Linked DNA regions of Arabidopsis thaliana. The protein of the gene in region 2 purifies or fractionates together with the protein of the main gene of each other region. This does not show direct contact. Each region holds a gene or a part of one and is shown on either strand. Other genes may lie near its edges.

Region 1 (7,452 bases), on a different chromosome or scaffold from region 2:
AACAAAATTAACGAGAAAATCTTCTCCTTGGTAGAAAGAGCATGAGAAGAAACTCTCTCTATAGAGAAGCTTGAGAGATCAGAGATCTCTTACCATTATATAAACACACACACTCACAAAAACAATAGAAGACGACAAAAAAAATCCCACCGAAAGGATAATTTATTGTTTTAATTTCCTTATTATCTCACTTTTTTCTTACTTTTGTGTTCAATAATTTGAAGATATTTTCTTGGTTCATATCATCAACAGAGACACCCACCTGCGAAAATTACCCGAGAGGCGCGTGGAGTCTACGGTTACGAAACGGACGGCTGAGAATCCACGCGCCTTAACGGCCTTTTTTCCTCGTTCTTGAAAAAGCTTTCGTCAAGTTGGTTTTATTATCGGCTTTATCAATTGAAACACGACTCTGCATGTTTTTTTTTTATAAATGATTTAATTTAAGAGCCGTACAAAAACAGATCAGTGTGTCCTTTGTTTTTTTTGTTCTTGTTCGGCGTTACACAGCTCATAATTAGCTGTTCGTTTTTTCAAACTTTTATCCGTATTATTATCCTTTCTTCTTCAAAGATAAATTTAGATTAGTCTTAATTTTAACCACATGATCAGATACTCTCTTCAAAAATGTTAACTAATCGTGAATTATGTTGAGGTCCGCAAAATTGCGTCATAAATATTTTACTGGTCTCTCTTCATATTTCTTAGCTTCGCTTGAATTGATTGTTACCCTTTTTTCCCTTTTTTTCTGTGTTTACTATAATGCCACGTTTCTTCTATCGAATAATCTAAAACAGAAGAAGAAGAAGTCAAAATGCTTTTTATATGATCATTTTCTTGTATTTTTTTTTAGTTTTTGATCGGAGTAAAGTTATAAGAACTTCAAAAAAAAAAAAAAAAAAAAAATGCATGATGATGCCAATCTTTTTCTAACTTTTAAAGAGTATTGGAACATAATACATATATCATGTAAACTGATATTTTTAATTGTAATTTTATATCATATACGGATTTAATTGTAATTTGAGCATCACCCAGTTGTGCAATTGTAGTTATCACAGAAGTGCACATTGCAATGTTGTTGAACAACAGAAATACCTTGACATCATCTCACTGACCCATGCAGCCATGCCTAAACTTGGACCAGAACTCATGTAACCACCGGGTAATGTCAAACCTGAACTCTGAACTCTCAGGTTAGTTAAACTCATCTCTTGTTGTTTCCTTAATTCTAAATCATCACTAAACCTGTATTAAAGTGTCCCAAATTTTTTAGATAGAGATGTATAGATGCACATTTAACCCACCTGAGGAAGAACTTATTAACTATTACTGGAATAACAAGATCACCAGAGAATGATGATCCAAATAAAGGCAACGAATTTGAAGTTCTACTACATTTTCTTCCATTTTCTCCATTATTTTGCAAATACATAAACACATAAAACGAATTTATTTCCATTTTTCCCAGAAATATATAAGAACAAGCTAAAACACAGGGATACATGAATCCTCTCAGAAATCAGAGCATCGACCACGTTGTTCCCAATCGCCGTACCGAGTCGGTTCAGGACCTCTAGGCCCTCCAATCTCACCAGTATCTTCGTTCACAAACTCTCCACCTCCACCACCTTCTCCTTCCTCTTCTTCTTCCTTCTGCATCTGCAGATTCTGTTGAAGATTCTGATCTGGCTTCACGTCCCGGTTCAGATCCTGATTCGGAGATGGAGCTTGCGGCGGAGGAGGTGTACCGGAGCTTAGAAACCGTGACACTGGCTCGAGGAATCTAGAGGAGACGGATCGGCTTGGAGCGATCAAACGTACGATGTTGTTCGTCGCCATTGTTAGATCAGATGTGTCGGCCAAATCAAGAAAGAGATCCGACCTTCACGGTTTGTGATAGTATAGGGTTCGATAGTCATTTAGGTTGGGCCATAATTGGATAATAAGCCCAGTAGTATCTAGGCCCAATCATTTACATGTTTATAAATAAATTAAGAGAATTAGAGAGTAAATTTGGCCCAGTATAATTATGTTTAACAAGCCCATCAGGAGCTAGGCCTAACATGTTTATAAAACAAATAGGAGAGAATTAGAGGGTAAAGTTGACGTGGGCTGATTTCGAACCCGTAACCTTTTTATATATTAGACCTCATTACCAAAAAGCGATTCGATTATCTCATAAAGCGTCATGTGTTTTTTTGTGCCACATCAACGGCTGTGAGTGGTTAGTCACTAAAGAAAAGTCACAGGCTGTTATATAGTATTGGCTTCGCTATTTATTTTCGTCTACCACGAGAAAAACAAGTCGTAATTCTTCTATCTTGATATCTTCACCGCCTGCCGATCTCTCTCAATCTCCGATCAACCATGAGCAAAGGTCCAGGACTCTTCACCGATATCGGCAAGAAAGCCAAAGGTATAATTATCATCGTATCGCTCTTCTTCTATATTCCTTCTCTCATCGTTAAGATTCCGGTTGAAATCGCGCAATTAGTGCGTGCGTTTATGCCTGTTCATTGATTCGAAGTTCTGGTGTTTCGAATTTGTTTATCCTGTAGATTGAAATGATTTTTAGATTTTGATTATATTTTGGGTGATCCTATCGAGTTTAAGCTGTTTCTGTTTTGATTTTTCCTTCTTTGTAGATCTGTTGACGAGAGACTACAATTCCGATCAGAAGTTCAGTATCTCCACTTACAGTGCCTCCGGCGTGGTATGTTTATTATATCGATGCAAACTCTGTACTATTTTCAGACTCTTGTTCGATTTCGGTTTTAATGCGTGGTTAAATTTGTGGAGTATCGTTTTGATATTCGTTTTCAACCATTGTGTTTTCCGTTTTTATTTAGCTGCGATTAGACCTTTAAGAGTATATGTTCTTGGTCTGATCGATCTCCATGTTGAAATCGATTTCTTAAGTTCTGTGTTGGTAATTGTCAAGGGAACTGAGAGAGAGAACGAGTATCAGGATGATATTTACTTCTGTTTAAGAACTAGATGTTTGATAATGAGTGAAAATGAGGTCAACGTTTGTATAGATTTCACTTTGGTTACAAAAATATGCCATAAGAACTCCACTATATGATTCATTTTACAATTTCTTCTTTAGGTGCGCTGCTTATAGTAAAATTATTAAGTTATTGTTTGTGACAGTTTCAATTAGCTAATTGCACTTTTGTATTTAGAAACCTAATGATTGTCTGCATATGATCTAGCAGTCTAACTCCATGGTTAATTATACGAATGGAGAGCCTTAATTTTTTTTATTTTTGGTCTGTGTTCTGTTGTTTAGGCCCTTACGTCTACTGCTCTGAAGAAAGGAGGAGTTCATGCTGCTGATGTTGCCACCCAATACAAGTACAAGAATGCTTTGTTTGATGTTAAAATCGACACTGATTCTAGTGTAAGCGTTGTTGTAGAGATCTATTATACACTTTATCATCTAAAACCAGATTAATCTGTTAAGCGTGTTTGTATTTTTTCCTTACAGGTTTTGACAACAGTCACACTTACCGAGATCCTCCCATCAACAAAAGCCATTGCCTCCTTCAAAGTCCCTGATTATAATTCCGCCAAGGTTTATATTCCTTTTTAATGAAATCACAGATGTTTACTTCTCAGTGGTTTGAATGAAAATTAATCCTTCAGCTTTTGAATTTCATTAACAGCTCGAGGTGCAATACTTCCACGACCACGCAACAGTTACCGCTGCTGCAGCTTTGAAACAAAACCCACTAATTGACATAACAGCTACTCTTGGTTCGCCAGTCATCTCATTTGGTGCTGAAGCTGGATATGACACAACCTCCAAAACTTTCACCAAGTACAATGCCGGGATCAGTGTGACAAAACCAGATGCTTGCCTCTCCATAATATTGTAAGAATACAAATTTCAAAATAAAGCAATCACTAGCTCTAGATGTGGCTTGTGTGGGTCTCATCTGAGTTTTTTTTGTTCCAGGGGAGACAAAGGAGACTCACTCAAAGCATCATACCTTCATCACTTTGATGAATTTAAGAGAACCGCAGCAGTTGGTGAGGTTTACAGGAAGTTCTCGACAAATGAAAACACGATAACGGTTGGTGGATTGTATGCGATTGATCATTCGACTGCAGTGAAAGCTAAGCTCAACAACCATGGCACACTTGGTGCTCTTCTGCAGCACGAGGTCCTGCCCAGATCACTAGTGACTGTTTCCAGTGAGATTGACACTAAGGCTTTAGAAAAGCATCCAAGGTTTGGTCTCTCTCTTGCTCTCAAACCTTGAGAACACACACTCACATCAGACCTGCTTGAGTCTTCCTACTTTTCTCGTATGCTCTCATTGTTGATTTCCTCTACGGCAGGACGTGAGAGTTAGCGTTTTTTTCCTCCTTTTTTCCTTACGTTTAATTGGAATCAATAAATAGTTCCGCAGTGAAATTGACGGATAATTCTTTTTTTGGATATGCTCGGTTTTGGTTTTTTTTTTATCTTTCTTTTATAATTAAGCACTCTTCTTGAATATACACTCAGTGATTTTTTTCTTTTCTTTTAGTACAATCCAGTTAAAAAAACAAAAAAACATATAAACAAGTTGATATGATGTAAATCTCTTAGACATTAGCAAATCTTAGATAAACAAGTTAATGGTTCCTTCTTCCGCCGTGAGACTGATAGTGGGTTTCATAATTTAGGAACAATGATAGGAGGATACAAATAAAAACCGTTTCTACAACGAGCCAGTTTGGTTTAGTTGATCAGCTGCTTGTCATCGAGGTACATTCGCAAAGGAGATTCTCCCAATATTGTTGAGCCTAACTTCAAATGTTACCATTTTTTCTACGATTGGTGTAGAGATCATGTAGAGCTTTACAATTCACAACTTGCAATTACCAGTCTATATGTCCGACACCAAGAAGAATTAACGTATACAACGATTGATTGAAATGAATGATGAATTATCAATAAGGATTTAAATCTCAGTCCAATTTCAATAGCTAGAAATATAAGCATAAATGAGGTACATTGATAAGAAAACCACAAAATTCAACTTCGAATTCTGAATCATATCATCATCAATGAAATCAAAATAGAAAACTAGAAAAGAAGAAGAAAAAACCATACGTTAAGATCAATCTACGTTCTCCATGACATCTTCGGCTGAAAACTTGGTTCCCTTCTCCTTATCGGCGGCGGCGCGTCCATTAGCCTTACGCTCCAAAAGCGACTTCCTATCCTTATCGAGACGGAGCTTAGTGATCATCACATTCGAAGCATTGACTCCGACGTTGACCGTGGATCCGTTGACTTTCTCCCTTGTGATTCTCTCGATGTGAATCACCCACTTGCGGCGATACACCTGCATCACCTTCCCTTCTCTTCCCTTGAACGTCCCACGAACAACTTGCACTTCGTCGTCTTTACGAATCGGCATGGATCTGACGTTGTGTTTGTTACGGAGATCCTTGGATAACGGCGAGCTCATGAGAACGCGCCTCACGCTTGAAGGAGCTGTGAAGTGAGCCTTCCTGTTCTTCCGGCGAGAAGAGCTCACACGCGGATTGAACTTCATCGCCGCTGAATTTGTGAAGAAATTAGGGTTTTTTTGTGCTGAAGAGGTGGAGCGTTGTGTGCATGAGTTTATATATGAGATATTAAAAGTTACTTAAACGCTGCCGTTTCTCACAGTGAGAATTAGGGTTTTGAAGGTTTCTGGGTCAGATGGGCTTTGATAAGTTTTATATGGGCTTTCAAACCATTAAAATGGACCAATCTAACCTTGAGAAATATAATGGGCTTATTAGATTGTTGTCAACTTCTAAGTTAAGTGTTGTACTCAATTCTAAAACCAAACGCATTAAAGAGTTTGTATTCTTTTTAATTTTGTTCTCTCCAAAACAATGTGTTGGGTTCTTGAGAAGACTGACTGTTATTGATTATTTTTTTTGTATAATTAAAAAATAAGGCTGCTTGAAATAGTAATGGTTACAATCTTGAATATTTGGTTATTTGGTTACAATCTTGAATAAGGCTTTTTGTATATTTGGTTACAATCTTGAATATAAAATATATCTTTCAATGAAAAAAAAAATAAAAAAAATAGTAATGGTTACTGACTAAGTTGGAGATAAGGAAATCATCAAATCATAAAAGATCCATTTAGGTTAGAAATAAATACACACTTATTGAATATCATTTGATAAGGCTTATCTCAAACTAATAAAACAAGAATCGAGATTCGAGAATCTCACTAAACAAATAGATTAGGTGAATCCGACAAAAGCCAATGATGCCGTCACGCTCATAAAACTCGGATTCCACAAGCCCAAAATAGACAACATGTTTTATTTTATTATTTGTTTACCGACTTAAAATATTAATTTAAGATCGTTAAAAAACAAACTCTACAAGTTTTTGATTTCAGAGTCCACCGTTGAGCCTGTTCAATTAAATCGTTGAATCTCGCGGTGCGTTTTACTTTGATTCTTTCGAATTTTTTTTATATGGATGTTGCCGCGATGGCGAGATGTGTGGGAAGGTGCTACGTTTCGCCGGCGTTCGGTGAGTCTGAATCGCACCGGTTATCGGAGCGGCGGTTTCTGAAATTGTCTAGCTCCACGAATTCGGATCCCGCCGGTAGTAAAAGTTTGAAGCTTCGCGGGAAAATTCATCGGAGAATGAGCTACTTCCGTCCGATCATGGCAAAAGATGAATCCATTTCATCGCGGTCCGGTAATAATCACGTAATTCCGTTCTGGTTCATCTCTAATCCTAGTTTGGGTTCCTATGATTCGTTTTTAACATTTGGGTTCCTGAGACCAGAAATTTCCATAGTTTTAGCATAAAGTTTGGACCTTAGTAGACAGATCAATGATGTATATCTGAATAGATCTAATCTCAGATAATCTAACCAGGTGAAACGAAGCAAATCAATGGAAAGCAAAAGAACATTGTCTGGCATGATTGTCCCGTTACTAAATCCGACAGGCAAGAATTAATTAAGCAAAAGGGATGTGTGATTTGGATTACTGGCTTAAGTGGTTCAGGTTTGGTCCTTTGTTTCTGAATTGATCTCTAACTACATCTTGTTATGTTTCTACTGGATTCTTTCAAATATTCTCGTATTTTTTCAGGTAAAAGTAGTCTGGCATGTGCTCTTAGTCGAGCTTTGCACAATCGTGGAAAGCTTTCGTATATACTTGATGGTGACAATGTTCGACATGGTTTAAACAGCGATCTTAGTTTCGAAGCAGATGATCGAGCTGAAAACATTCGAAGAGTTGGTGAAGTGGCTAAACTGTTTGCAGATTCTGGTATTATCTGTATTGCAAGTTTAATATCTCCTTACCGGATAGAACGAGCTGCCTGCCGTGCATTATTACCACAAGGAGATTTCATTGAGGTTTCTCCAAGTTCATGAATTTGAATCCCAGTCTCAACATCAATCTGACTTTCTCTTGGTTCTC
Region 2 (9,143 bases):
GAGAGTAACAAGAATTTTCGTAAGTAATGATAAAATACCTGGCTTGTAACTTAAACAAAGAGTTTTTGTTAGTGACATTGATGAGTTCCTCGTCACATTGTCCTCTTCTGTATGCCACAACTGCTAGGGTAGGATCACGTTTCTCGCAGTACTTACCCACAACCTTAGAGTCGTAGTAAGGGTTGGTGGTCAGGAAATGCTCAGGGTTGTTGTTACTGTCTATGATAATTTTACCCAAGGCATTATGGACATGCACATCTTGGCTTCCCTCACTAACTAAATGCTCCAAGAACTGAGTGAGGAGACGGAGTCGATTTCTGAAAAAGCAGAAACATATTAGAGTTTCCAGAACTAAACAGACATAATTATGAACGCAAACCAGGATGACCAAAAGGATTCACCTCTTCTCACATTCCTCGACAAGTGGTTCAACAGGAAGCAATGAACGAACAGAGAGAATGAGGCCTTTTATAAAATCTTCAGGGCATTCATCATCAAGCAACTGCCCGACAACTAAGGGAGCATTCCCAGGGTTCACCTTTGACAGAATCAAACGTATAAATATTTCATAAAAAAAAACTGAACTCCAACGCATTAAAAGTAGTCCCAGGAAACCTTATACCTTCTGCACGTAGCCTTCAATGTAACGAAGCATGTTGTTTGTGTAGAGGTAATGAGTAAGATCAGGCACAAAGCTGAAACGATCACAGACATTTATCAAAGGTCGTGCATCAGGCAGCTTAGCTTCCATCAAAAAGTTCTTCGTCTTTTCAGCATCATAGAAGTTAGACTCTCTAGTTACACGCTCAACCTCCTTTATTTGACCAGTCTTGGCAGCTGCTTCAATGTACTTGAAATGGATCTCAGGATCCTCACTATCGCACAGAGAGAAACATTGTAAACATAAGCATATAAATACAAGAATCGTGCTTGTTTACAGAAACGAGATCAGATTTTATCTATATCACCTCATACTCAAATATGAACCTAGGAAAAAGTATAGCCCTTCATATGACTTGAACTGCTCAAAGAGCTTAATACATGCATCAACACCAAGTTGCTCACAGTACTCCTTGCAAGCCTGAAATTGTATGGACACCGTTAGTGTCAAAATAACCAATAAGATTCATCATATCATACACCACTTGCCTGAACAATTATCTGCAGATTGCCTCTCAGGTTGACCAGCAACAGATCCTTCATGCACTCCATAGCCCACTCGCTAGAAAGAGTGCCAAAAAACTCAACAAGAGCCTGCATATGGAGCAGAGTGTTATGCAACAACTTGACCACTTAGTAGGTTTAACAACCAAAATATATTTCAGAGGCACTACCTGTGGCTCGATAGCATGTGTGTTTACAATTACACGTTTTATATCAGGTAACTCTGAGTAATGCTGCACAAATCAAAAGGAAAAGAAGTTGGAAGGTGAGAAGATGATAAATCTATTTGGCCGGTAAAAATGGTAAAAAACATGTACCAACCTTCAAGGATTGGATATAAAGTCCAGCCTTTTCACAAAGTTGAGCAATGCGAGGCCGGTCATAGTGGGTGAACATCCCATTTGCTAATACCGCATCAGCCACATTAGGAAAAGTTACCAAATTTATCTCCAGAACCTGTGTTGAAAAATGATTTAAACAGTCTGGGGAAAGAAGGTGAGTAGAGAAAAAAACGGAGAGATACAAGGTGGCAACTATTTTCAACCTTAGTTTGCAGAAAAGCATGCTCAGGTAAATTTGGCTTTAGCACATCCAGAAGGAAAGAAGTCGCTTCACGGATCAGATTTCTCTGAATATGCACAAATAGACAAATAAGCACATGATAATTTACATCTACTGTATACAATTCTGTATATAGGAGTAGAACAAGTAATGAGCTACAAATATTGGTGCATACAGAATATATTGACCTACCTGAAGAAAAAGATCAGTGATGGTGTTGTAGTCAACTGGAGAACCTCCTTCCATTTGAGACATCATTAATGCAAAATTTACTGCTCCCTGCAAATAAAAATTAAAAGACTATTGATATTAATACGGTGGGAAAAAGATTCTTCATTCTATATAACATCAGGTCAAATTATTCAACAAGTTAGTTGATTCATAACTCTTCCAGTGCTTACGCCACATATATTCAGTAAAGTCCTTTCATAGTTTAGTATGTTGCAAGTATCAAGAGTGCACCACACTAACCTGAGGATCTGTACGGAGTATGGTTTGCAGAAGAAACAGGTAATCAGGTGTGTACCCAACCTGAAGTCACAATATGAAACAATGGTAATTCATGAGACAACAGAACTTTAGGGTAAAAATAATAGAAGAGGTTATACTATAGATCTTATTGCTTACCTGCTTTGAGTAAATCAGTATTTTGTCAAACTCCCTTCTTTCTGCAAAAGCTGCTACAACTTTTGGAGTCGCCCGAGCTTTGATGTATATTTTCAGAGCGAGATCATTATCCACAGTCTGGAACAGAAAGGTTTATCGTCACAACACACCATAGGAGACATATCACACATTTTGAATAAAATCGTCCATTTCAAGATTACCTTCACAAGGTCTCCAAGTTCTTCACTGCATTCTAGTTTATCCTCTGCCAACCAGTTTTCCAGGAGGTTCTTCTTGTTTTGGTTCACAACCAGCCGAGATAGTTCCAGTGACTCATATGAATTGAGTTTCCCTCTAGTCAAAAGAGTCCCAAAATACTGTAACAATGGAGGAGTTTGTCCAGCTTGTACAGGAACACTCTGCAAAATTATAGAGTTGAAAAATTGGTGTTACCAACATTTCATCATAAATAAACATGTTTACACATAGTTGCTTGGATATGAAATAGACACCTGGAATTTGGCCACTGTATCAGGTGTCCTTAGAATTCCTTGAGGAGATTCAGCAGCAAGCTCAGCAGCCTCCTTGTACTTTGTTTGAGCGAACAACTCCTGGAACCGCTGGACAACCTACAACATCCGAGCAGAATATGAGAAACTTCACAATACCAAATGACATTTTTTTTCTTCAAGCTGCCATTTAACAACTATATAATTACTTCACCGAGACAACAGATCCATGATAAACATCGCATACCAGATTTTCTGCACCTGGGAGGTTTCCTCTTTTAGCAAGATTGACAGCAAGCTCCAAATTGTTCAACTGTGATACAAAAGCATAGATTTCTTAGCATGACATGATGAAAAGGGTAGGTTATAACGGGAAAATAGCATAAAAGATTAGCATACTTGGCCACTAATAAAAGGTATAATGGTAGCCTCGTTTACTGTAGCCAAAAGAACTTGTCCTCGCCTATTAATGGCATAGAAACCCCCAACTGAGGAAGCTTCAGAAGTCAAGAAAATTGGGTCTGGACTAATCCGATTTCTGTAGATAGCAGAAGCAGTCTCTAGATCGTACACAAACAACAGGCCAAGTTTGGTGATAACATATATCAAGTTAAATTTGTGAGAGACCTGTCAGGAAAATGAGAAATTAGTGCCAGAAATTGTCACTAACTACTTACACATATAACTGAAATTCTAATGCAATAGCAAACCTGCATGGCAACAGGAAAATCATCAGCAAAATCAGGGGGAAAAAAGAGATCTGCTTGTTTTTTTGTAAATGATGGTTTTCCTGCAAAAAAATCGCCAACCTTTAAAGATCAGATGAATACAACCTAGAAAACGTAACCAATTATATTAAATAACAGTGAAGATATAGTTTTGCGTCGGGGAGCTAACCAGGTTGGGCACCAAGCTCAATGACATGCAACTTTGATGTTATCTGCCCAGCATTAAAGCTCTTGCTTGCAAATGATATAAGAATAGAAGGATTCTCATTCCCAGGAACCTAATATTAATAGTGTTGCAAGTCAAACTACAGTTCAAGATTAGACCATAGATGAACTCACCAAAGAACAAAGACGTTACCTTAAACTGCGCAAACGATGCAGCATGTGCCTCAAGGGCCTGACTCCGCTGTTGATCCACAGAGAAAAGCTGCATATTTCCTTTTACCAATTGTTGTCTCTACAGAAAACAGATAATAATGACAAGATCAGTCAAGAATCTACAACATGAAAGCAGTTTTGATGTCTTTTTTTGACCTAATATGTGGCGCAGTAAACTTACCTCAGGAGAGCCAGGAGCAATTCCAATTAAAACCAACCACTTCTCATTAGGAGAGCACTTATAGTTTATAATTTGATTGTTGGCCAAATTGGCTGTTCTATCAAACATCTTAACTGGCTCAGAATCACCTATAAAACCCGAAGGAAAATTAGAAACGAAAACACAAGATATGAAGAAAATGACAGTAGGCTGAAATATACAACCTTCAATTGACCAATGATAGACGGAATTCTGTGTGACCAGCCCCAACATCTTTGGTGTAATCCACTTCCAAAAGACAACCTGTAAAAACATGAAACATTATTATCCAAAAAAAAACCCGACTGAAAAATTCAGAGTTATACGAAGTGTATAGCAGGAACGATAATGGAGTTCAAATATATTTGCATCAACACTCACCTGCTCAGGCATCTGATGTGATTTCAACTTTGCTTTGGCTTCAATGTTAAATATCTGTAGATGATCCTGAGTAGTTCCTGGAACTTGAGCTACATAAATATTGAAGTAAAAAGTGAACATCAAGATAAGTGGATTATGAACTACGAATTCGAGGAAACCGTTATGGGTTTTAGATCAAAGGAAAAAATCAAGTACCTTTCAAGGCAAGGATCTTCGAGTTTGGGTTCATAAGAGCAGAGTCTGCAGTAATAGGCCTCCTAAGAGGCTGCATCGGCATATTCATATCTATAATTACAACACTGTTTTGCGGTGACGTCTCTCGTACACAGATATACTTGTCAGACTCCATAGTAACATTTGTAAACGTGATGAATTGCTGATTGATCCCGATGCTCGGAAGCTGGAAAAATCAAGATGAAGCGTTACGTCAAATAGTTCATTTATTTAGTTATGAGATCCGAGTACATAAGCACATTGCTACAGACAACAACTTGAAATTCGGCATTGATATATTAACGAAACACAGATCTGAGCATAGTTAGAGAAATCTGATCAGAAACATGCATTCCCAAACAAGCGATCCGGAAAAACTAGAGAGTAACACAACGATCGAGCAGAATTCAGATCAGTAGGAAACTGGAATCAATCAATCAAGAGACTGAACAGAGCTTAATCGTAGAAAATCACGGTCGATTCCAGGAGATACACATCTAAATATTCAAAGATAAGAGTGAAGAGTAAGGAGAACTCACCGTCAGGACCTCCTTCATCGTGATGGGGGCGTTGGCAGCCGCCATGTTTGACCTCAGATCACAGCAAGAGTAAATCCGGGGACGGAATCAAATATACGGCTGAGAAGTCCTGACCGCCAATGGCCAGGAGATAGAACCGAGACGAGAGAAAGACTGGAGAAGAAATGAAATCGCTGCCAGATCTGAAGCAAGTGAACGAGAAAGGTGATGGAAAGAGAAAGAAAATTGAGAAAAGAAGAATAACAAATATATATGGGTAAGTAATGACGAACAGCGATCCAATTAGAGTCTTACATTTATAACCAGGTCCGGCCCATATCGGTCCTTACTGGGCTCTAAGCATCCGAATTTCTAATGAGACGACACGTGAAATATTTTAATTGGTGCTTTTAAATGAAGGTACCTTAGGTGAAACAACAATAAATGACTTAATAATTAAGATTTGATCCAAGAAAAAAACTTAATAATTAAGAATGGAAGAAGTGTCATGACTTTTAATAATTTTTTTTAAAAAACTTAATAATTAAAGATTTGATACAAGAAAAAAAAAACTTAATAATTAAGAATGGAAGAAGTGTCATGACTTAATAATTAGAAACAAAACTTAATTAATCTGATCCAAAAGAAGAAGGAATATTATGTCATAGAGTATCACTGATGATTGCAGGTTGCAATTGTATGTTGCATCAAGTCATCCGTCTTGGTTCCATTCAGTTTTCTGTGATGAAAGAGTCATTTCCCCTGGTTGAATTGGTTTTTTTTTTGTTATATGGCTCTGTTGTTTTGTATAGGTTATTGTTGTTATTAGCTTATAGTGGCTTAGTGTGTGGAGATTTGTTTCTCCCTGTGTAATTGCTTCTGTTCTTTGTGTTGGTACATGTTTCCAATCTATCAATTCAAATCCAGTTGAGAAAGATTAAGAAAAAAAATGGAAGAAAATCTCCCAATTTTTATACATAATAAAATGAGATGAATTGATAATCAATTAGATTTAGTTAGTAAAGTTTAATTTTACCGATGAGATCTCAGACGACCAAAACACGAAAATAAAATAAAAAGAAAGATCTCAGAATCGCGTCTTTCTTCTTCTTCTTCGTCTTCTTCCTCCGAAACTTTTTTTTGTTTTTCAAAGTGGTGGAGCTAACCATGAAATCGACTCACCATCACAGAGCTCCACTAATATCTGCTTCTTCCTCATCTTCATCTTCTTCCCAAAACCATTCATTCGTCTCTAGGCTCCTCCTTCTCCTTACTCTACTTCCAGTTTCCCTTGCTTGTCTCGCCTTTATCCTCCAATGGCGAGGCGGTGGTCTCGCCGATCCTGCCTCTGCTTCTGTTCGTTCCTCTACGTCGGTTCCTGGCGGCTCCGATCTCAATCACGAGGTCTTTCCCGGCATGGAGACTGTTTCATCTGTCTCCCCAAAGTCTCACCAATCCTCCTCCGACTGCTCAAATCTAGCTCGCAGCTCTTCTCCTTCTTTTCCTTACTATGCTGATTGGAAGTTTGGTGTTGATACTAGCTTAAAGCCTAAGGTTACTACTTTCAATTCCCCTGATTTCAAGTCTTTGGATCGATCTACACTTCCAAATTCCTTTTTTTTTTCTTAAATCTTACTACAATGTCTAATCTGAAATATCAAGTTGTTCTTTTTTTATTGGATTATAGAGATTTGAGAAATACCAAAGTTCATTTTTTGATCAGATCTGTCTTTGTAAAGTCACCTCACTTTTTGTGCTCCATGTTGTATATGATTCTTGACATTGTTACTGTTTACAGATATGTATCACGACTAGCACATCAGCTGGATTGGATCAGATTCTACCATGGATGTTCTACCATAAGGTTCTAGGCGTCTCAACATTCTTCCTTTTCGTTGAAGGGAAAGCTGCTACTCCGAGTATTTCTAAAGTGCTCGAGTCTATTCCTGTGAGTTGAACTACCTCTCTTCGCGTCCACTGTTTATTTTGTTTTGGCTGTATATCTCTAGCTCTTTAGTCCTGTAGGTATAAATTTGTATTTAAGGTATGCAGTTTTCGATAAATGTAGTCCCATGTCTCTTGCAGGGTGTTAAAGTAATATACAGGACGAAAGAGCTTGAGGAGAAGCAAGCGAAGAGGTTAGTTAGTTATCCCATTGCATATTTGCGACAAAGCTATAGCTCTTCAAGGCACTAAACACATGTTTTGTTGTATATTCTGAAATTGTAGCATTGTTTTGTTGTATTTTCTACTACTGATCATTTTACTGTCATTCTTTTTTGTTTTGTTTCATCAGCCGGATTTGGAATGAGACCTGGCTTTCGTCTTTCTTTTATAAGCCCTGCAATTATGAGTTATTTGTCAAACAATCTCTCAACATGGAAATGGCTATTGTCATGGCTAGGGTAAGTATTTCTTTTAGACCTTATTTGGTTCAGTTTTGACTCATGTCTCATGTTACATTCTCATTTTTCTTGTTCTTACTAAATATCAGGATGCGGGCATGGATTGGATACTTCATCTTGACACTGATGAGCTGATATACCCAGCAGGTGCTCGTGAGTACTCACTAAGACGGTTGCTGCTTGATGTTCCTCCAAATGTGGATATGGTTATATTTCCAAATTACGTGAGTGATATCTCATTCACACTTCTTGCATTGCTTATTTTCAGCTAGTTTTGTGAGTCTAAAGTTTCTTTTATGATCTGGCCTTTGCTATGAATAATGCTTTTGGATTTTGTTGTTTAGGAAAGCAGCGTAGAAAGAGATGATATCAAGGATCCTTTTACAGAGGTATAATTCAGTTTATTACTGTCTTTACGTAAGAGAGTAGGTTTATTAATATTTGTTTGTTATGTTAGTATTACTTCTGAGATATGTGTGGTGCAAGCAGGTGTCAATGTTCAAGAAGAATTATGATCATCTTCCAAAAGATACATATTTTGGAATGTACAAAGAAGCAACACGAAATAATCCAAATTACTTTTTGACTTATGGTAACGGCAAATCAGTTGCTCGGGTTCAAGATCACCTTCGTCCAAATGGAGCACACAGATGGCATAATTACATGAAAACTCCCAAGTATGTCTATCATATATTCAAACATAACTAAATTTTCTATTGGTTGAGGAACATGATAGGACTTTGTTGTTACTCTAATATAGAACCATGTAACTATCTTAAAGGAGTTAGCAGTGGAGTGGAGTTCCGGTTAACAGCGTAGTTAATTTTTTCTGTTTGTGAAGCCAATTTTTTTTTGGAAATACTAACCTGATGATTCTTGCTAGTGAGATCAAATTGGAGGAGGCTGCTGTCCTACACTACACATATTCAAAATTTTCTGACTTAACATCCAGGCGTGATCGATGTGGCTGTAAGCCTACAAAAGAAGACGTGAAAAGATGCTTTATGTTGGACTTTGACAGATCTGTGAGCATCTTTTCTTAAAATCTCTAAAAGTCCTTAGTCATTTCTTAAAATCTCTATATTTCACTTCCTCTTACCCTTTTATGATGCTGTATGGATCAACATTGTAGGCATTTATAATTGCGTCAACAGCAACTGACGAAGAAATGCTAAGCTGGTAAGAGCCTTAGCATCGTTCTTGGTTACTTGTGAAATAGATAACTTCTGACACTCTTTGAACAAGTTTGGTCCTATTGTGATTACAAAAATATCTGGTCTTGATCAAAAAGTAATCTACCCTGTGTAGGTACCGTGAACACGTTGTGTGGGGTGACAAAGACGTGAAGACGAAACTCCTTAGGAAGGGTATTCTGACTCGCATCTATTCACCAATGGTAAGAACATACTCTGCAATTCATTATACAAAATTCCAAACACAAGTCCTGGAATGTTGAGTTCTTGCAAGTCAATTGTAAAATA
Region 3 (7,536 bases), on a different chromosome or scaffold from region 2:
TAATCGGTTCGCTACTGTAATGTTGTAGCTGTGTTTGCTGCTGAGGATATGAGGATGTCCTATACAGAGAATTTGAATTAGGAGATGATTGTGGCTGTGAAGACCAACTAGCTTCCTGAACTTGTTCTTCAACTGTGTGCTGATCCAACCAGCTTGTGAACTCATTATCCTGAGTCCAATCTGTAGCAGTAGAACCTGGACATAAAAACTACTGTTAGAAAAAAAGCTGATAATGGATTTTTTTTTTGTTGACTTGTAATTATATTTCCAACTACCACAACTTAATACTCCAATCATTCACCTCCAGAAGTGGATATCTAAAAGTACAAGCTCACAGTTTTTACCTTTAGTTGCATAGTTCAAGAAGAAGAAAAAGTAACATAGAAGAACAAGAATAGTAAACAGTAAACAAAACTCACTTTCTCTTGAAAAGGACCCTGATCCTCTGTCACCAATTACTCCAAGGTGTTTGGGCCCGGTAACATTTCTGTTCAGCTGCACAAGATAAGACCAAATAATAAGATAAGTTAAAGTAGAGAACAAGTAATAATAAGAAGCTGAGAAAGACAGATCATTTGTCTCAAGAGAGACGATGAAAAATGGTAACAAAATGATATTAGTAGAAACAGAATTATTTAAAGTCATAATTCGGAATTTACAATATGCTAACCTTTGCAAAAGTTGTGGCAAGATCATCCATGTCAGATAATGATCCTAAACCAGCACCCTGAAACCAGAAGTAAATGTTTTGTTTTATCTTCCATTTATCTCATATATAATTAGCATCAAATATTGCCAAGAACAGACTCAGTCCAAATTACCTCTCTTTTATCAAACAAGTGATACTCTTCATCATCAACATGTCCACGAACAGTACCATCATCATCAAGACCACCCAATTCGACTTCTTCAAGACTTTGACCAAAGAACTCATATTGAGATGCGTCAAAGAGTGCACTATTGTTATCTGCACAAAGACAATAAGATCCAGTTTCATCAAACACATGAGGTAAGTGACAATCAGTTGACCAGAAAATTTAAGTAAAACTAAAGCTTTTGTAAACAAATCTGTGACATTTCAATCATTTCATACAACTTCAAAAATCAAATTAGTAAATCTTATAGGTTACTACAAAACTTAAAAAAAAAACGAATCAAATACTGTAACAAGGAAGATAAATCAAACATAACAAGCATGAAACAAAAAGTATGTTTCTCTTAAAGTTTTCACAAATCAGAAGCAAATCAAATCATTCACATCTCAGATCAAAGAAAGAAGCTTTAGCAAACTGATGAATCACAAAATAAAAACACTTTTATTAGATTTGAAAACAAAAAGAGCTGAACAAGAAAGAGAACTGACCAGAAGAAGTCTTAGCGAAGTTGTAGAAATCTCTAGAATCAGATCTCTCCATGATCAAACACAAAGTAGCAGAGACACGAAGACAGCTAAAACACAAAAAAAAAAAACAGCGAATACGATCGAATCTCCAAAAGGGTATTGCTACTTCTTGTCAGAACTAAAGAAAAGGTAAGTAAAGATTAGCTGAAATCGCTAGAGGTTCCCGATTTTCCGGGATTCATATTGAGAAAGAAGAAAGTCGAAGGAGGAAACTTCTCTTCCTAAAGAAGAGATTTTTGATTAGATTAGATTAGAGAAGAGAGAGAGAGAGAGAGAGAAAGAAAGAGAGAGCCTTTTTTTATTATCTCTGCCCTGTGCTATGCGTAACATTGACACATCTCGAACAAATCCTCATTTCTCTGTCTGAAATAAGCATTTCACCTTTTTTTTTTTTTTGGTTCGTTAAGTTAAAATAAAAGAGAATAAATTAAAAATGTTTTCTTTTGTCGTCAAGGAAAAATTCTCTTCTGTTGACAAAAAATCAAAAGTAAAAATATTCCACTTTCCGAACTTTTTTTTCTTTTAATTAAAATTATACAGTATGTTACTAAAATTAGTGATAGTGATTACAAAAGATAAGAATAACCTTTTTTTAGTGCTGTCTGCTTTTTTATTTTATTATTCTCTCTATTTTAATATTATTTATTACATATTGCTGTGTCTACTAATATTAGTGATCATAAACATTTTCTTATCATAGAAATATAATTTCCTGCGGCATTTGAAAAACATCGACCGATTTCGTGTAATCCACACTACATTCACGATTAAAAAAAATTATTTTTTTAACATATGAGACCACTATAAACAATTATACATGTAAACCATACATAATTTCATAATTTGCATTTCTAGGCTTCAGATTTTATATGAAAACATTAAATAAATTATTGGATAACTACGAGAATTCGTCTTATTTCTGTAATTATTTTGGATAACTACGAAAAACAATTTAATTGATATAGCCATATAGGTTATACCACATCCACTAACTACTAGTATATGATTCTAATTAGTAAGACGATCCTTCTAAATATATGATTCCACCTATTTTCTCCTTTTAAGTTTATGCTTTTACTTGTTTGAAACTCCTCAACCAAACCAAATAAGTTAGTTATGAAAACTTAATTGCATAGAGATTAACAAAATTAAATACACATCGACGAAATAAAATAAAATAACTGGAGGGACAAGTTATATGGTCCATGTGAACGGATTTCATCCGGTCGGTTCAATTTGATCTCATTTGCTAATTTATTATACACAAATTCAAATGGTCTATTTTTTATAAAATATGACACCTATATACTTACTTGCGTAGACACGATATAACCGGCCAAGCAAAGTTTTCTAAAATATATAATAATCTGCAAATATGATGTTAACAGTCCATAATTATAGACTATAGTCTCGCAGTGGCTAGAAAAGTCAAGCATGCAATTTTTAATTATAAATATTTGACACATTTTAGTAGAATTATAAACAAATATATTGATTGCTGCGAGAAGAAGTTTCCAACTTTGTTCGTATGATGAAAGGTAAATTTTGTGATCGAAAACGAAAGTAGACATGTTTGAAAGTCTTAAAATATTGGTAGAAAGGTTTTCGAAATTTTCGTGACAATTAAATTGATAATTTTGAGTATGGAACTTGATCGAAAAATTAGAAGATTTTGAGAAAAAGACAGCATGTTTTTATGCGATACAATGTATAGTTTCACAAACAATTCCAATAATAATATGATAAATGTATAATTTTGTAGATAGTATAAGTGTAATTTTGTAAAAGTTAGTCACTATACATAGTGGTAGTGCTATGAGCAAGCCAAAAAACATATATGAGTAACTAAAATTAGCAGTCAAATATAGAGTTGGATAGCTTCAACACCAATCATAAAAGTTTTATCAAAACCGTTACTAAAAGTTTTACTTTTTTTTTTTTTTACAGCTCTCTCGTATAATTCTTTTGTAAATTTTGCACTATTTCAAAAATACTTACAACTCCAGCTAACAACTTAATTCTTTTTACAGTTTTGTATTATCAATGGGATCCATAACAGTTGTATAATTTTATATATGTCTTTGTTAGTTCAAAAAAAAAAGTTTTTGTAATAATAACTCTTTTGAAGTTTGTACGAACGTAAGAAAAAAAAAAAAGGAAAACTAGAATTAGTATGACCCAATAACTGAAGCTAGGTTTACCAGGCCGTGTGATAAGAATATAAAGCCCAAATTAAAAATGGGTCTAACCTAAAGGCCCAATAACTGAAACTAGGTTCTCTCCGCATCCATTTTCTGCATTACTATTAAAGCCGCATTTCTCATAGAATCCGCCACTTAGGGTTCATAGCAGCCAGAGAGAGAGACAAGTGAGAGGGATCTACCAAACGAAGCAACAATGGTGAAGTTCTTGAAGCAGAACAAGGCCGTGATCCTTCTTCAAGGACGTTACGCCGGAAAGAAAGCCGTCATCATCAAATCCTTCGACGACGGTAACCGTGATCGTCCTTACGGACACTGCCTCGTCGCCGGACTCAAGAAGTACCCGAGCAAAGTCATCCGCAAAGACTCAGCTAAGAAGACAGCTAAGAAATCTAGGGTTAAGTGTTTCATCAAGCTTGTTAATTACCAGCATCTGATGCCTACTCGTTACACACTCGACGTGGATCTCAAGGAAGTGGCGACTCTTGATGCTCTTCAGAGTAAGGATAAGAAGGTTGCTGCTCTTAAGGAAGCTAAGGCTAAGCTTGAGGAGAGGTTCAAAACCGGTAAGAACAGATGGTTCTTTACCAAGCTCAGGTTCTGAAGAAATTTTCTATTTCGTGAGGAATTCATTTTGAGCGTTTTGTTATCGTGTTTTTTAGTTTCTAGGGTTCATTTCCCATGGTGAAAAATGTGGATCCTGTTTTGGATTGTGGAAGATGTTTTGTTGAAGTTTGGATTATGGATTTGATCTTTTATTTTGATTCTCTAATGCATTCTTATTTACTCTTTTGTTTCCGTTGAATTATATTTGCTTAGGCTTGAGGAAATGATGAATTTAGTAACGTCTTTAGGCTGATATTGGTTAAAATCTGGAGGTCCATTGCAAAGAATTCTTGTTCATAGCCTTAGTTAGAAAATTATAGATGTTCAAGTTTCGTAATCTTCGAAATTGAATTTGGTGTTACTAATTGTCTTAATCACGGTTTTGAATTAGCAAAATATCAATAGCTAATTGTTTTTTGAGCAAGGTTCTGATACAATGGCTATATCTCCTTTGTTTATAAGCTTCTCTGGCATTAAGTTTTGATAGAATCGGGAAATGTATTTACCAAAAGTTGAATCTTGTATCGTTTTTGTTAGATTCTGAATATCCCATTGCAAGTAGCTTATTCCTAAACTCGTCGTAAAATACAGCAAATTTTCGAGTTTCATTTGTCTAGGAAATTGATAATTTGTAATCATCAAACTTACAGATACAGCCAATGATGTTAATTATTTATTTCAGAGTATTGAGAAAAACTCACATATGATTTCTCTGTTAACTGTATAACAAAACGCAGGCTACTAAAAAACAATCACTATTGCGGTATCGTTAATCTGATCTAAAGACAGATTTGTAGGCTTATGTGATTGTTTGTTTTCTCACTTGGGAACCAATAAATCGACAGCTAAGTAATAGCTTCCTACGATCACAGTCGATGCAACAGAGCTTCGAGCCATCCTCATCCCAATACCTCGGAACAAGAGATTTCTGTCTGTAGGATGGATTCCTGTCCATCTCTCTAATCTCTTCCCTGGTTTATTCCATTTTAGAAACTTCCTCTCCTTTGCTGTATACTGTAAGTAAAACAATAGAAACCCAACAGAGAAAATGAGTTTCATATCTCTTTGTAAGATAAAGTGGAAAGCCATGAGTAGAGTTTCTTTAAACCTTTGGCAATATTACACACTGTGCACGTGTTCTTGCTGTGTCAAAGCTATGTGATGCTGCAGCTGCAACGGCACCAGATATCCCAGCAGCAAGGCTAATGGCTACCGGAGATAAAGGTCCAACTTCTTCTTCAGAACTGAATTCATCAAGTTTCCGCATAATCATTTTAACAATCAACAATCCAAGTTCAAGTGAATTGAGAATTCAGTGTCGATTGAGAGTTTTAAGTACCTGGGCAGAGGATTCATCCCAACAGCTTTCCAACCGACCATTGCCTCGTGAAGAAACTGCCATGTTGAAAAGAATACTCCACCGTAAATACAATCTCTTATAAGACCTGAACGTAGATTCCTCCATAAAGCTCTATATCCTTCAAGTGATGCAACATCGAGCGGTCTCTTAACATCCATGGCTGATGGTGGGTTTCCTGTTCCAGTCATCATCCAAGGGTACTCTTGCAAAGCAGCTGTCATGTTTGGGTGTTTGTGATTTAAGACGGATAAGAGACTGACTGTTTGTGTCAATGACTTTACATCAAGAGTGTATCTTCTTAGCAGTTTTGTGATCATGGGTGAGACCGGTGCGGTCTCTGCAACAGCGGAAGCATTTGGAGCCCGTGATGCAGCAGTCACTTGTTTTCGGACTTTGATTAGCTCAAATGGAGAAGTCATCACTGTTTCTGCTGCACCTCCCACCAGACCAGCCAGAAAAGCTTCACCAACACTCACGTAGTTATCATGTCGACCATCTGGAGCGAAATGAATTCATATTCAGATTCTTCAAGACAAAGGTATTGCCCAAAAAGGAACCAAATTTGCGTATAAATGACATGAATGTATGTGAACACTGTTGCATATTCTAACATAATCCATGAACAAATGATTGCTGTATTGACTAATTAACTGATGTTATTGAGCTAATTGACAGAGGAGCTAGACACAAAGAAACCTAATCTTGAATCATCGAAATCAGACACAACAAAGGAGACATGGACCTGTGTAATACCTTTGTAGAAAGCTGTTAGAATCTCATAGACACCAAACCTTGCACCAAAACCAGAAATTCTTCCTAAAGTTAACGATCCAAGACCACTGTACAGACCTGCATTTGAAGAACATGTCATTATGCCTGATGCAGAATCAGAAAATGATTGGAATCTAAAAGAGTAGTTTGCGAACCTGAATAGCCAGAGAATCGAAGAACTCTATTAAAAACTTGAAAGGAGCTTAATTTCTTATTGGGTCCTGAACCAACCTGTAGTTCAATGCTATTCTTAATCCCCAGATGAATCTAAGTGATAAAAAGAACAATTTGGTGAAGAAGAGGGAAAAAACCTGGATAATGGTTTTGATGGTATCTAAAGGATAAGCGAGAGCAGTTCCTAACGAGACAGAGGCCGAGGCAGCGATGGCATGTGTCGCAAACTGATGATTCTCAAGAAGCTTATCCATCTTTAGCCTCAGCGAAAACAAATGTACATATACCTATACGTTTTTGTCAGCAACACTACAGACTACAGTATCAGTATTCAAACATACTATGTCCTTTACTCTTATCATAGTCTCCAAAATTAAGAGGTTTAGAAGTAGATCAACAAGTTCTTATCATCCATTTGATCCAACACAAAATAAACAATAATTAGAGTATTATCATACCTCAAGTCAAGAAGAGTTTTCTCTCACAGGATATTAAGTAAACAGAAACCTCATCATCAACCTCAAAGATGTTTCACGTTGAAGCAAAACCCAGATCAGCGACAGAGAGAAGACGAAGAAGACGACCGACGCTAATCGGAGAAGAAAAGACGACGTCGTTCAATCAGAAAATGCCCTAAAGGAAATGACGTCGTTTTAGTTATCAAGGGTAAACAAAAAAAAGTTAAAAAACGGAAAACAAATTTTAGCAAAATTGGGTTGGTGACGTCACGATACAGATTTGCCGATTTATAGGTCATAAACCAGAAAAAGCTGCCAAACCTATTTTCTTCGAACCCTAAAAACGGGCCGGGTCGATTTCTCCGCCATCGCAATCCTCCACCCTCCTCTGATTCTCTCCGCCGTTCGTCGGAAATCTCCATCTCCGGCTGATTCCAGCTTCCTCTTCTCCAGAACCGAAGCTACTGTACCGGAATTTTATCACTTTCCCCGAAACCGATTCACCGTAACCGGCCACAAACCAAATCAGGTCTTTTCTCTTCATCTCCTTGTACAAATTTTTTA
Region 4 (7,481 bases), 5.3 Mb from region 2:
AAAATTAAAAAATGGTGGTACGTCTTCCTTAAATTAAGTCCACAACACTCGCTCCACTTCATATTTCTCCCTTCCATCATTCCTCAGCTCCTCAAATCAGAATGAATCAGCTCGAGCACACTTCTGGTAATTCTTCATTTATTATCTAAAATCATGATCAATGTCCGACGTATATTCTTTTTGGCCACATATAATCATGAACAATTATTCTATACACACCGCTAGATAATTAACTAATCTTTTTGGCCACAGTGCAAAAACGTTCACAGAATGCATCAGGACCGGACACAAGTCCGCCGATCGGTTATCCAACCAGAGATAAGGCGGTGGGTGATCCTCCGGCAGCAGCAGAGAAGACAAATTCCAAGGGCTGCTGCGAAGTCGTAATGTTAATATTACAGTACATATCTAATTTAACTTACTTTCTTTATAGATAGTTTGGCTCTAATTATTAGCAAGATGTTCATCCGACGTGCAACTCTCTTTTAATGATCTGTCTGCCTACACTATTGGCAGTTGTATCCAGGGTTGCGGCGAATGTGTCATGTGCTGCGCGTCAGGATTTTCAGGATGATGAGACTCAAGACTTTGCCCAAACCAGAAAAACAACATATACGTAATAGAGGATTCATCAGTATGTTATTTGCTTCACTGGTTGAAAGAGATCCATGATTCCCATTTGCTTCGTCTATTTTGTTTCTATATAAATCAAAGTAAAAAACAAAAATAGCTAGTCATAATTCGTAGCAACAAAATATGACGTAATGATTTTTTATTCCTAAGTTTAATACAATATATAATAATATAAACAACACCTAAGTTTATAAAGTTGTTTTCCTTTGCAGTTTAACAGATCACACCAACATAAGGAACAAAGCCAAAACTATTAATCATGGTTCAAAGGCAGTTGGTTAATCACTTTTTCATTTTCATGAAATGTTAAATTAATTAATCATCAAAAGAGGTTATTTAATTTACATAGAGTTTAGAGCAATACCCAAAAAAAAAAAAAAGAGGTTCTAAAAGACAGTTCCAGGAACAAAATAATTCAAATTTGTTAAATTCCTCATGTTTTACGACGTCATGTACGTGTACGTCATGTACGTGACGAAAGCCATTTCTGCAACAAACCATTTCTCACTTTCATCTCAACCATAGGTATCGCTTTCCTCTGCCCTTGTGCATTTCAAACAATATCATTTGCTTTATCTCTGCAATTATATATGTGTTGGATATAACCAAAAAACCTAGACCTACCACTTCGCTAAGGTAGGTCTGTCCGTGAGTTGTCTGTGATTAGATGTTTTTATTGTTCAATATTGACTCTTCTTTCTTTTATATAATGAATAATGTAAAAAATTTCCTAATATTTGTCTACCTTATAAATTAGAAGCACAACACTCTCTCCTCTTCACAAATCTCACATCCTCACTCCTCAGCTCCTCAAATCAGAATGAATCAATCCGCGCAAAATTACTTTTCCGGTAATTATCTTCAATTGTTTTCTAAAATCATGATCAATGTCTAACGTATAATCATGATGAACAATAATTCTTTACTCACCAACTAGATAACTTTTTTTTTTTTTGGCACAGTGCAAAAACCTTCAGAGACTTCATCAGGGCCGTACACAAGTCCGCCACCAATTGGTTATCCGACTAGAGATGCGGTGGTGGGTGATCCTCCGGCAGCAGCAGTGGAGACAAACTCCAAGGGCGTCAACCCCGAAGCCATAATGAGTTGTTTTAGGTACGTGTATATATATATATATATATATGTTTATAACTTGGCTCTAATTATCCAAGATGTTATTTTTTTATATATCCGGCGTTCTACTTTTTTTTTTTACTGATATGTCTGTTGACACTATTGGCAGTACTTGTATGGAGTGTATCTTCTGCTGCGGCGTATGCTCCAGCCTCTGTACATCAGAGTAAATCAGCATGATGAGACAGAAGTCGTTGCCCAAACCTGAAAAACAACACGTGATAGAAAATCTATATATATATATATATATATATATGTTATAGTAGTCGTTTCTATGGATTTCCACGCATTTTAAAGTTTATTTGTTTCACTGTTTAAAATGAATCATTTGCTTCGTGTATTTTGTTTCTATATAAATAAAAGAAATTAAAAACCAAATAGCTAGTCATAACTCTTTACTACTCAAAGGAAACTGTGTTTTAGTGTTCTTAATTACATCTTGTTTCTGACCAACAGTGAATGATCCTTGCATGGGACTCATTAACTTCAAAATTAACGATTTCATACAAATTATTGTTGTAAGAAATAGATAAAAAAAATGTTTGACGATAGTGAGGAATTAAGGATGGTTGTGTTTCGCTTTAAAGTTTTAAGTGAACCAAACGGATGTGCGCACAGTTCGATTTACAGTTTTAAGTGGTTGTGACTTTATCCAAATATAATTATTACGTGAAAAATGTTTTTTTTTTCAATCACCAATCAATAGAAAACACATGAAAATATTATCCAGCGGGATAATAATAGACGAGCTAGATTTGGTATTTTTATGAATGCGATCTTTTATGCATTAATCAACCAGAATTTGCAAAATATCTGAGTCTGATGCTAATTGGATTAGAAAATATCTGAATCCCGGCAAAACAATTGACCTTCCTATACACGTGAACAATGCGGACTATCCAGTCCTTTGCGAGAAAGCCATAGCCAGTGACGGATCTAGACCCAAATTCTATATGGGGCACTTTATTTATAAAATACTAGTTAAAATTTAATTAGCTAAATTATATTATGATTTTAAAAAACATTATACCTAAATTACAGTTTTGGGAATCGAAATTGGGTTTATATGAAACACACTTTACTGTAAAACCATCAATGCTATCTAAATTTTCTTGTACATACATAGCTAATACACTATTTATAAGATTTAAAATGGGGCACATGCCCACCCAGCTTCAACATGGGTCCGCCCCTGGCCATAGCACAATTGTACAAGGAAAGACTTTGGGTGAGAATCATTAATCCTTGTCTTGAGAAACCCAACTACAAATATCGAATCAATCTCCAGCTCCACTCTTATGATTTGCTTCTCCCAAGCGATATAAAGCCCATAGTAGACTCTCCGTAATTCTGGTAGAGGTGCAGAACAACGTCCAATGTTAACCGTAAAACCGTCACAGCAATTACGTTCTCCATCCCGCAGAGCTCCCCCAGCTTACGAATCTCGACTTTAGTTTTGTAAAACAAAACATATAAAACGATGTCCAAACAAAACATATAAAATGGTGTTCAAAAAAATATTTTCGAATTTGGTGGTTTCAGGGCCTAAAACGATATAAGAAACTTACATGGGCCTTTTAGGATCATCTCATTTTAATGGGCCGAATTCGATATTGAAATAAAACAAATTAGGGTTTTACTCAGCACACTATATAAAGACAATCATCTCTTCAATTAGGGTTTCTTCTTTGCGGTGGTGAGAAACAATGGTGAAGTTTCTGAAGCAGAACAAAGCGGTGATCCTCCTTCAAGGCCGTTACGCCGGCAAAAAGGCAGTGATCATCAAATCCTTCGATGACGGAACCAGTGACCGTCGTTACGGACACTGCCTCGTCGCCGGACTGAAGAAGTACCCGAGCAAAGTCATCCGCAAAGACTCAGCGAAGAAGACGGCGAAGAAATCAAGAGTGAAATGTTTCATCAAGCTCGTGAATTACCAGCATCTGATGCCTACACGTTACACGCTCGATGTAGATCTGAAGGAAGTAGCGACTCTTGATGCTCTTAAGAGTAAGGATAAGAAGGTGACTGCTTTAAAGGAAGCTAAGGCTAAGCTTGAGGAACGTTTCAAGACTGGGAAGAACAGGTGGTTCTTTACTAAGCTCAGGTTCTGAAGAAGAACCTTTGAGATTTTTATCTATCTATCTACTTTTTGTTTAGTTCTAGAATGAATTTGGATCATTGTTTAAGACCTTTTGGTTTGGAATTGATTCTGGATTTTGTCTCTTACTTATAATCTTTTGCTATATTGATGCCTCATTTTATATATTGTCACTGGTTTAATAGCTGAATTGATTACATTGTGGAAATGTTGTTTAAGGTTATTGAAGATGGTCACTTCTGGTTTCCAATTTCGAGATGTTGGAGTAGTATTGAAATGGGTTTCTCTGTCAAATCATTTTCCCTGTAGCCATTGTAGTCAGTCCTAGAGCCATTGTAGTCTCTTTTCTTTACTTGTAGGAGCATATAGAGAGTCTTAGATGCATGTTTGAGTTGTCACTGTTGATTACTTGATTTCGTGTTGATGTTATGGTGTTATAAATAGAGTGTTTTAACTTTTAACGAGATAGGTGTCGAATCTTTCTTTAACCTTGCTGTTTAGATTGAAAAGTTAGGAGATTGTTACGATTGTGTGAGTGGCCATGTATTGTATAGCCTTTGTGTTAGTTGATTTTTTCCTTGTTCAGTCATAGAGACCTGTTGCAATATACGAGATTGAAAACTATTATGTGAAATTTTTGATTTGTGTACAAATACTTGTGACTCTTAAAATGAAACTAACATTGTACAAAATATCACAATGAAAGAATCACAGAACAAGGTCTCTCAACATTTTGATAATCTATTATACATGCACATTGTGGTTTCTGTTTAGCAAACATAAACGAATTTCAGAGATATAGAACGCAACAATGCAAGCCCTTGCTTCAACCGTATTCTTTAAACTCCGTTCATGTTCTAAGCTTTTTTTGACAAAACACATCCTCACACTAATACCGAAGCAAATCTAGTAAAACATAACAATCATTGTAATGTGAGTCAGCACTTGTGATTGGTCTTGAAGTATAACAAATGTTCTTGAAGTATTAACACATTTTGCTTTTTAATTTATCATTCAACTTTACCTTAATTAATTTATGATAAGACTTTGAAAAACAATAATTATCTCTAGATTCTACAATCTCATCCAATATTTTTGACCCAAAATCATTTCTATCTTTGAAAAGACAAATTAAAAGATACCCCACATGAAGTCACTTATCATCATATCAGACCTTATACTTTATACAAATAATCACTTTAGTCCTTAAATTAAAAACCGATTTAACCACAAAAACAAGTTTAAGCCAAAACAAGACAAAAAAAATAAAAAATAAACAAAATTTGTCGTTTTTATAAACCAGAAAAGCTGCCCAACTTCTTCTCCTCTCGAACCCTAACGAGCCGGGTCATCTCAAAAATTTCTCCGACATTGCATTCCTCCGTCGCCTTCAGATTCTTCTCCAGCGTTCCTTAATCTCTTCTTCTCCGGTCGATTCCACCTTCTTCATCCCCAAAACCGAAGTCCTTATACCGTAATTTTATCAAGTTTTTTACCGAACCGATTTCTTGCCGTAACCAACCCGGTCACAAACCTGCAAACCAAAAAAGGTTCGTTCTCTGTTCTTTCGATAATTCAAAAACTCTGAAATTTACGATTTTGCTGCACTGGGTTTTAGAATTTCGCTTTTCTTTGACGGGTTTGATTCAATATGATCCGATTTTTATCTAATCAACGAAAAGTTAACATCTTTGTTACGAAAGTTGTGAGCTTTTTTATGAAAGCTGATGAATTCTTCTTCTAAGTTTGATCTCGTAAATGTTTAATTGAAGGATCTAGGGTTTTGTAGGATGGATTCAGATTTGGAACCTGTAGCTCTAACACCACAGAAACAAGACAGTGCGTGGAAACACTGTGAAGTTTACAAATATGGAGATCGAGTTCAGATGAGATGTCTTTACTGTCGAAAGATGTTTAAAGGAGGTGGTATTACAAGGGTTAAGGAACATCTTGCTGGCAAGAAAGGACAAGGCACTATCTGTGATCAAGTTCCTGATGAGGTTCGTCTTTTCTTGCAGCAGTGTATTGATGGTACGGTGAGACGTCAGAGGAAGAGACGTAAATCAAGTCCTGAACCATTGCCTATAGCTTATTTCCCTCCTTGTGAAGTTGAGACTCAGGTTGCTGCTTCTTCTGATGTGAATAACGGGTTTAAATCGCCGAGTTCGGATGTCGTAGTGGGTCAAAGTACTGGGAGGACGAAGCAGAGGACTTATAGGAGTAGAAAGAATAATGCTTTTGAGAGGAATGATTTGGCTAATGTTGAGGTTGATCGAGATATGGACAATTTGATTCCTGTGGCTATTAGTAGCGTGAAGAACATTGTGCATCCTACTTCGAAAGAGCGGGAGAAAACAGTTCATATGGCTATGGGACGGTTTCTGTTTGATATTGGAGCTGATTTCGATGCGGCGAATTCTGTCAATGTTCAACCGTTTATCGATGCGATTGTTTCTGGAGGATTTGGTGTTTCTATTCCTACACATGAAGACCTCAGAGGTTGGATTTTGAAGAGTTGTGTAGAGGAAGTGAAGAAAGAGATTGATGAGTGCAAAACTCTATGGAAGAGAACAGGATGTTCTGTTTTAGTTCAGGAACTGAACTCCAACGAAGGACCTTTGATCCTTAAGTTTTTGGTTTACTGTCCTGAGAAAGTAGTGTTTCTGAAATCAGTTGATGCATCAGAGATATTAGATTCTGAGGATAAGTTGTATGAGTTACTTAAGGAGGTAGTTGAAGAGATAGGTGATACTAATGTTGTTCAAGTTATTACCAAATGTGAAGATCATTACGCAGCTGCTGGGAAAAAGTTGATGGATGTGTATCCTTCTCTATACTGGGTTCCTTGTGCTGCACATTGCATAGACAAGATGCTTGAAGAGTTTGGGAAGATGGATTGGATAAGAGAGATTATCGAACAAGCTCGAACTGTTACAAGAATTATTTACAATCACAGTGGTGTTTTGAATCTGATGAGGAAATTCACTTTTGGCAATGATATTGTGCAACCAGTCTGTACCAGTTCCGCTACAAATTTTACAACAATGGGAAGAATTGCTGATCTAAAACCTTATTTGCAAGCAATGGTTACATCATCCGAGTGGAATGATTGTTCGTATTCGAAGGAAGCAGGTGGATTAGCAATGACTGAGACTATCAATGATGAGGACTTCTGGAAGGCATTAACATTGGCGAACCATATAACTGCTCCGATTTTGCGTGTTTTGAGGATAGTTTGTTCTGAAAGGAAGCCTGCAATGGGGTATGTCTATGCAGCAATGTATCGAGCAAAAGAAGCAATTAAGACAAATCTGGCTCACAGGGAGGAGTACATAGTGTACTGGAAAATTATAGATAGGTGGTGGTTGCAGCAACCTTTGTATGCTGCTGGTTTCTATTTGAACCCAAAGTTCTTCTATAGCATCGACGAAGAAATGCGTAGTGAGATCCATTTAGCGGTTGTTGATTGCATAGAGAAATTAGTCCCTGATGTCAACATTCAAGATATTGTCATTAAGGACATAAACTCATACAAGAATGCTGTTGGGATTTTCGGAAGGAACTTAGCTATCAGAGCTCGTGACACAATGCTTCCAGGTACGCCATTTATTAA

What was found.
Region 1: the proteins of AT3G08530 (region 2) and AT5G67510 fractionate together in Arabidopsis thaliana (co-fractionation; one large-scale study listed by BioGRID). This does not show direct contact.
Region 3: the proteins of AT3G08530 (region 2) and AT4G15000 fractionate together in Arabidopsis thaliana (co-fractionation; one large-scale study listed by BioGRID). This does not show direct contact.
Region 4: the proteins of AT3G08530 (region 2) and AT3G22230 fractionate together in Arabidopsis thaliana (co-fractionation; one large-scale study listed by BioGRID). This does not show direct contact.

The regions. Positions count from the first base shown.
Region 1 is NC_003076.8:26,932,853-26,940,304, forward strand, and holds AT5G67510 (Translation protein SH3-like family protein), read right to left. Parts: upstream 5,647-7,452; 5' UTR 5,559-5,646; coding exon 5,118-5,558; 3' UTR 4,799-5,117; downstream 1-4,798. Other genes in the region: AT5G67490 (succinate dehydrogenase assembly factor), read right to left, coding at 1,516-1,842; VDAC2 (voltage dependent anion channel 2), read left to right, coding at 2,371-2,419, 2,649-2,716, 3,296-3,406, 3,494-3,580, 3,672-3,880, 3,965-4,240, 4,681-4,798; APK4 (adenosine-5'-phosphosulfate (APS) kinase 4), read left to right, coding at 6,490-6,718, 6,901-7,032, 7,120-7,388.
Region 2 is NC_003074.8:2,590,089-2,599,231, forward strand, and holds the start of AT3G08530 (Clathrin, heavy chain), read right to left. Parts: upstream 5,567-9,143; 5' UTR 5,324-5,566; coding exon 5,279-5,323; intron 4,927-5,278; coding exon 4,722-4,926; intron 4,616-4,721; coding exon 4,527-4,615; intron 4,410-4,526; coding exon 4,331-4,409; intron 4,256-4,330; coding exon 4,128-4,255; intron 4,026-4,127; coding exon 3,927-4,025; intron 3,847-3,926; coding exon 3,738-3,846; intron 3,631-3,737; coding exon 3,551-3,630; intron 3,468-3,550; coding exon 3,240-3,467; intron 3,154-3,239; coding exon 3,088-3,153; intron 2,961-3,087; coding exon 2,844-2,960; intron 2,751-2,843; coding exon 2,553-2,750; intron 2,470-2,552; coding exon 2,353-2,469; intron 2,257-2,352; coding exon 2,197-2,256; intron 2,005-2,196; coding exon 1,918-2,004; intron 1,793-1,917; coding exon 1,709-1,792; intron 1,621-1,708; coding exon 1,486-1,620; intron 1,398-1,485; coding exon 1,335-1,397; intron 1,255-1,334; coding exon 1,150-1,254; intron 1,082-1,149; and 8 more. Other genes in the region: KOB1 (elongation defective 1 protein / ELD1 protein), read left to right, coding at 6,425-6,811, 7,056-7,205, 7,343-7,395, 7,554-7,662, 7,752-7,886, 8,007-8,051, 8,152-8,339, 8,546-8,687 and 2 more.
Region 3 is NC_003075.7:8,568,097-8,575,632, forward strand, and holds AT4G15000 (Ribosomal L27e protein family), read left to right. Parts: upstream 1-3,719; 5' UTR 3,720-3,799; coding exon 3,800-4,207; 3' UTR 4,208-4,265; coding exon of another isoform or gene 4,266-4,291; 3' UTR 4,292-4,585; downstream 4,586-7,536. Other genes in the region: AT4G14990 (Topoisomerase II-associated protein PAT1), read right to left, coding at 1-195, 420-495, 671-727, 822-967, 1,364-1,415; AT4G15010 (Mitochondrial substrate carrier family protein), read right to left, coding at 5,029-5,223, 5,318-5,453, 5,549-6,065, 6,323-6,418, 6,496-6,571, 6,652-6,768; AT4G15025 (uncharacterized protein), read right to left, coding at 7,310-7,536.
Region 4 is NC_003074.8:7,840,536-7,848,016, reverse strand, and holds AT3G22230 (Ribosomal L27e protein family), read left to right. Parts: upstream 1-3,419; 5' UTR 3,420-3,473; coding exon 3,474-3,881; 3' UTR 3,882-4,481; downstream 4,482-7,481. Other genes in the region: PCC1 (pathogen and circadian controlled 1), read left to right, coding at 1,454-1,484, 1,596-1,749, 1,877-1,937; AT3G22220 (hAT transposon superfamily), read left to right, coding at 5,659-7,465.